Linked DNA regions of Drosophila melanogaster. The protein of the gene in region 1 purifies or fractionates together with the protein of each later gene. This does not show direct contact. Each region holds a gene or a part of one and is shown in the gene's direction. Other genes may lie near its edges.

Evidence for each region.
Region 2: the proteins of Prosbeta2R1 (region 1) and CG13319 purify together in Drosophila melanogaster (affinity purification with mass spectrometry, with the first as the bait; one large-scale study listed by BioGRID). This does not show direct contact.

The regions. Positions count from the first base shown.
Region 1 is NC_004354.4:5,807,103-5,810,903, forward strand, and holds Prosbeta2R1 (proteasome beta2 subunit-related 1), read left to right. Parts: upstream 1-1,851; 5' UTR 1,852-1,903; coding exon 1,904-1,992; intron 1,993-2,049; coding exon 2,050-2,229; intron 2,230-2,300; coding exon 2,301-2,955; 3' UTR 2,956-3,056; downstream 3,057-3,801.
Region 2 is NT_033778.4:12,922,038-12,925,270, forward strand, and holds CG13319 (uncharacterized protein), read left to right. Parts: upstream 1-1,866; 5' UTR 1,867-1,911; coding exon 1,912-2,310; 3' UTR 2,311-2,314; intron 2,315-2,384; 3' UTR 2,385-2,627; downstream 2,628-3,233. Other genes in the region: NAT1, read left to right, coding at 1-773, 842-1,020.

The DNA.
Region 1 (3,801 bases):
TTAGCATGCTAAATATTGGCAGCAGGCTAGGCGAAAATTTCCATTAAAAAACCGCACTTTGACTATAAAGAGTGAGAAATGGAAAAATGTATCCAGTTTGCTGGATAGTTCTTATTAAGTATCTAAGCAAAAGGTCAGCTTCTCAGAGCCATTCGATAACTTAAACACCAGTTACTTAATCAATAACCAGATGACATCGAGTGACTATCTTATTTATTTATGGCGTTATTTGCGGCAACCCAAATAAACATCCACCAAACGGGCCCCAAATGACTTTATAATCTTATTAAATTTTAATCTTCCAATCAGCTAAGGACGCAACCTTTTGTCAGTGGCGGCATTTCACCATAATTATCCTGGGCAAAGTTACGGCCACATAAAATGAAGGGAAACCCTAAAAAAAAAGAAAAGAAAAGAAAAAAAAAAGGGATTCCCATGGAGGGCAGAACAACCTGTTCGATTTCTTTTTTTTTTTTTTTTTGAGGGTAAGTGCGGGCGTCAAACTTTTCCAATTGCTGTTAACAAAACAGAAATCAAAATTGAATGCCAAGTCTTGATTAGTTTTCCATTTTTAGGCCTGCCATCGGATGTCGATTCTCGCCGAATTTTCGCCGTCAGGTGTTTGTGCTGCCGCCTAATTGAAAAGCCAACTGCTGTCCAAAAACGGAAAATCCCGGACGAAAATATTGCGAATGGCAGTGGTAAAAAAGAAAATTACTCTAGCTGCATTTGCATTTGTTGCAAAAGTTTTGCGGCCCTAAATTGCGGAGGAAAAGTTTTTCGAGGCTTGAAAAAGCGAAGGATGAAAGCTCTTCTAATTGTAGGCACTTTAAGAATCCCTGTTGATTCAGCATTTTTCTCAAAAACATTTCAATTAATACATATATCTCACTCTTCGTATTATCTGTATGTAAACTCTTTTTTTTTTTTTTAATTGAATAACATATACATGAACGTAATATGGCGAAGTCCTTTTGGTGGTTTGGTAACCCAACTGAAGTGAAGTGAAATCACAGCTTGAAGTGAACATTGCAATCGTCGCAGTTTGCTGGCCAAATGTTGATTAAAATATAATTGTATTCTAATTAATGCTAATTGATTTGTGCCACATGTGCTGGTGTCGGCCATCTGAAACTGACCAAGTTACAAGGACATATTCCCATTCCCATTCCCATTTCCATTTCCACTCGCTCGGCTTGAGTATCCGTGTCCTTGGATTATGGAGCACCCACACGAATGCAAATGCAAGTGCAAATACAAATACAAATACAAATACAAATACAAATACAAATACATATGCAGAGCTGTCAGTTCATATTTGTGCGCGTGAGTGTGTTTGTGTGTGTGTGTGTGCGTGTGAAAGGACACACATTCTCATGTCAGATGGACAAACTTTCGACCACACACGCACGCCCACGCACACACACACACTCAGGCAATCGCACTCACATGCAGATTCGTGGGCTAGGCAACCAATTAAGCTTTGTCAAATTGTTTGGCATTTGAAGTGCAGTTGGTAAATGGGTGGCATTGGGTGGAAATGGGTGGAAATGGCTGCCGCTGCATCGATAACTTTTCACCGGTCACTTTTTTATGATGGTCTTCCAAACGAGTGCACATTTCCGATTTCTTTACGCTCAAGCACATTTCCAATCGATTCCAAAGTATTTCGTTTTAAAATCCTTCTCTTCATTAAGCGAAAAAATCAATTGTCATCATGAATATGCAATTTTTAGACTATTTATGGGCTCTCAGTGTTTGCAGGCGAAAAACATAAAACTTGTGACTATAATTCGTAGAAGCAAATATTAAACTTTGTTTATTTTTTTAACCATTGATAAGTTATCTTTGATTTTACTGTCTAGCTAACGCACTACATTATATATTTACATACATCCGCACGATGCTCTTTCCTTTTTCCGCCCGAAAGGCGAATACATCCGCTGATTTTGTTGGCTTGCGGTCCGGATTCAACTTTATAAATTGCAGGCGGTAAGAGACATGTTGATCATTATGAATATATCCAAAACGAATAGATTTTCTCCACAGAAATGCCGAGCTTTTGTCCAAGGGATATGAGCCACCGAAGGCGATCAAAACAGGCACCTCCATTGTGGGCATCATCTACAAGGACGGCGTTATCCTGGGCGCCGACACTCGTGCCACCGAGGGACCCATTGTTTCCGACAAGAATTGCTCAAAAATTCACCACCTTCAGGATCACATATAGTGAGTACCCAGCATTCGCTTGATGCGCCTTTGAAAATGGACCCCTACATATCTGCATTACCCATTCGCAGCTGTTGTGGCGCGGGCACCGCTGCCGACACCGAAATGATTACCCTGACGACCAGCGCCGAGCTGGATTTGCACCGGCTGAACACCGAACGACGGGTGCCGGTAGTCTGTGCGAGCATGATGCTTCGCAGGACCCTCTTTCGCTACCAGGGTCACATTGGTGCCGCCTTAGTGATGGGCGGCGTGGACACGACTGGGCCGCAGCTGTACTGCATCTATCCGTGCGGTTCCAACGATAAGATACCCTACGCGGCCATGGGCTCCGGCACCTTGGCAGCCATGTCGGTGCTGGAGCACGGCTGGAAGCCCGATCTCGACCTGGAGCAGGGCAAGCAGCTGGTCCGCGAGGCCATCTCGGCGGGTGTGTTCAACGACCTGGGCTCCGGATCCAATATCGATTTATGCGTGATCACCGCAAAGGGAGCGGTTTACCTGAGAACCGATACGATTGCCAGCGAGAAAGGCGAGCGGTTGGGCAAATACGGCATTAAGCCCAACTCCACTATGGTCACCTCGATCTCCGTGCTGAGTCTGCAGGTCACCGATGAGCGAATCTATGCAGTGGATGATCAACAGCCGGGCACCAGTGGCGTTCAGTTGGATTCCCAGCAAGCGGATGAGGAACTGCCCGAAGGATCGCAGACTAAATCACCATAGACATCCATACCATATATTTCAGTTCGAGCAAATTAACCGTTAAATAGCCACATGGCTTTACATAAATGTTAATGCATTCACAGAATGCAAAGATTGCCTAGAAATTCTGGCATCATGTTGTTGCTTCTGCGACTCTGGGCTGCCAGGAACATCAGGCGTTTTTCCTAGGGGGCATAGAATGTGCGGGAAAGTTGTAAAGTTGGTCATGCCCACTAGAGAGCACTGGCCAAAAATTCAGAACAAACGAACGGAACTCCCGTGGTATGGCAGTCAAATAAATCAAGAGATGTGCCAGCTCTTTTCTCACAGTGTAGCTGGTTGCGAATCCGAACCCGTCGCGTGGCCTAGCATTCTGCTCGAAAATTGTTTGAATCTCTTCGCAATTCCCAATGGTTGGACTGCCATCAATCCGGCAAAGCATCTGGGGAGTCCTTTTGGCGGAGAATGCGGTGAATGGATTTGAAGGAGGCCAGGTGTTTGTCCGCCCGTAATCGGGATCCAACTTCACTAGCATCCCATCAGGCGATGAACTGCGAGGACGTGTAAATAAGGCCAGGAATTCGAAATGGGGATGCACAAGATACAGGATACAGGACTTGGGACTAGAGAACTGGAACTCCGGCGGAGACCAGCATCATTATAAGATTATATCGCAAGTCCACTCCTTGCCACACATCCTCATCCTTTGGTGGTGGGAAAGGTGACTCTGATTTTGTTTTGTCGACTGTTTGCCTCGGCCACCTTTGCCTTGTGCCCACTATGCACAGGTGCTCCAGTACGCCCATCTGTTGTCTGTCGCTCCAAAACCTTTGACCTCCCATAAGCCACCACCCACCACCACCACAT
Region 2 (3,233 bases), on another chromosome or scaffold:
GGTCTTGGACCGTGTAAACGATGTCTTCTTGGAGCGTGCTGTGCGCCTTCTGCAGACATTGCGCAAGCAATCCAATATCAAGCCGAACATCGTGGTCGAGATTTTCAAGCAGGTGGTCAACAAGATGAACGAGCGAGAGGCACTCAATCCCCGAATCGTTAGTCTTGTAGCCAGCTTGCTGGCAAAGACAATTTGCGAGCCAGCATTGCTGAAGTTAAGCGATATCGCCAACTTCACGGACAATGGCCAACACTATCCGCTGTTCCTGCTCGTGCTGCAGCAACTGGTCAAGGTCATCGGCAAGGATGCGCTGGAAGAGAAATTCCGGGCGAGCAAAGTTGATCTTATGAACAGCCTGCCGGAGGCGGATCGGAACAAGGAGCGCTTGGCCGGGATACTCGAGGATCGCAAGCTTTCTTTCCTTTATCCGCTATTGAAGGTACAGGCCGAGATGCTAAAACAGCTGCAAAGCGACCCGAACCCCAACAACTTCTACAAGTGGATCAAGGCCAACGTTGACAACAAATACTACAAGGACCCGGGCTTTATCCAAGCCCTAATGACCGTGGTGGTCAAGTATGTGACCAAGGAGACGACGCTGGCGGACAACCTCGACCCCAAGGAGCACCCTGAGAAATCGGTGACCCAGAAGGAGCAACAGCTGCTGGAGAACTACAGCCAGATGCTGCAGACCTTCCTGGGACAGAACGAGCTTCAGTTGATGGCTCTCTATGCTCTGCAAACGTTCTGCTACAATGAAAATTTCCCCAAGGGTAAGTGCTCAACATTTTAAATCTAATCTGTTTTATCGGCAACTTATATTTGCTTTTTTCTTCGTTAGGCATGCTGTGCCGTTGGTTCAAGTATCTTTACGAATCTGAAATTATAGAGGAGGAGGCATTCGTCCTGTGGAAGGAGGAGATTTCCGACAAATATCCAGGCAAAGGATCCGCTTTGTTCCAAGTGAACGCCTGGTTGACTTGGCTGCAGGAGGCCGAATCTGAGGACGATGAGGATTAGAAAGCAACGCAGTCCCGCATAATAACAGCGCTATATGTTTATCACTTCCAATATTTATTCACAAATCGATAATGATTACATGATGAAAAACAACAAAACTAACAAAACACGAAAAATAAGAAACAAAATACCATCAGGGTGGAAGTTTGAAATCGCGGTTGCAAAACTTAGTCAAATTATAGTAAAAAAGAAAAACAAAACAAAAAAAATTAATCAAAATTATTTGATATCCAACAAATTCAAAGAACATTAACAATCAATTATCAATAAATAAAGCGCAATAGACGTCAAATATAACCGATATTTATCCATACATCATAATTCTCATTGACATTTCAAGCATAACGAATAATTAGTGAATTTCATCTTTTTTTTTTAACATAACAACCGGAACTGATCTTTAAATCGAATAACGTTGATTTCAATTGCCTTTTTTTGGTACTCTCGACGATTTCCCTTTTGTGTATTTAAATAAGTAGGTCAAATCAAAGCGACAACATTAACATTATAGAAAAGGAAAAACCAATCGACGCGCGCCGAAGAGAGCAAAACAAAATCTGAATGTAATTGTGAACAAAATATCGTATATATGTATTTAACTCAACCAACGTAAACATTAAAAAACTCGCCCACATTAAATAGAGCCTTAATAAATGCAACCAACACTGCGAACGGCGAAATCAAACTGACTTTCATTGGCTTTTGAGGGAGTAATGCAAATTTAAAATCCGCGCCTAAGCTCTGTAATAGCTGCCTATCGATACAATTTTCGATTATTTTGAAAAGCTATCTATGGTCGTTTCGTTATCTGGCAACACCGCTCCGGTCAAACTTGCTATTTCATTGTTTTCCTTGTGAATATTGCTTGTTTATGTATAAAATTCACGACTAATGGATAGCGTTCCTGCGAATGTTGTGCCTGCGAAGGAGTCTGGTGGTTTCACCTCACATTGCGTCCACTTGGCGGCGGGTCCCTCGCAATTCACCGTGCGCGCCCTGAAAATGCAAGGCAGCACCATGCTGATCATAAACCCCAAGGGATTGGAGGTTTTCGAGGAGCTAGCGGTGGCCATGCCCTCTCGCAATCCCGCCAGCAGCCAGTCCCTATCCTCCACAATCCTGGGCGGACACGGGCAGACCGACTCATCTGTTCTGGCCGCCAAATTGAGTAAACGCTACTGCCGCCAGTTCTACGTGAGCCTTAATCTCAAACTGGATCGATTAATGGGCCCTCTGTTCGAGAAGACGCTAGTCACCTACATGCAAGACCATCTGGAGCACTTCGCTTGAGTGGGTACAACAACTTAGTGTGGCATAAATTTAATCCTCAATCGCTGACTTATTTCTGGTTCACGTGCACACAGGGCCCGCCTGCGCTACCGATGACACGGCGCCGCGTGGGGGTCAACGTCTATTTCGGGGACCGGCGGCTACCCCACGGACGCAGCTTCACGTACTCTACGCACTCCATCAGCTAACTATCTGGGATCTCCGATTCCCGATCTCCGCTCAGACGTCATGCGGCGGCCGAGTGAGCACGAACTTTAAACGTGTATCGGTGATACGAATTTTGTACAATAAATTTATTGCCCTAAGTAAGTTTACAGACGCATGTGGGCTTTATCAATTGTGTCGCGATAGCAGTGCTCAATGTAAGAAGAAGTCACCCGCTGTGTGAGTGATCGCGTGCCACCCGCATGCTATTCATGCTGCTGCTTCACCACCCAATGATTTGAAGGTCAGTTTGGCTGCAGTGATGATCGCTTGATAGGTGATTTCCCCGCCATCGTATTAAATTCGAATATACATATGTGTGTGTTCGCATTGCGCCGGTTTGTTCATCAGGCCTCCGTTTCGGTTTCCCTTTCGAATGAATGTTTAGGTTTAGGGAGAAGTTAATATGTAATAATCATTCGGAAGTTTTCCAAATGGGTACCATTTCAGTTTGATCACTGAATACCTCTGACAAATAATATCATTAGATTTGTTTTTATGTTGTTAATTTGAACTATTCGAAAAGTTAGTAGGATACCACTATCAAATGTATGTATTAACTAGCGGGTTTACAATTCACAATGTGATTAACAAGCTTCTAAATTTGTGTGAATAATACTGGTTGAAAATATTATATCTCTTGTTACAGTTCGTTTAGCTTTTGAAAAAATGATATTGGTGATGACTGACTATAGGAACTCTCAACTTTACTAATTACC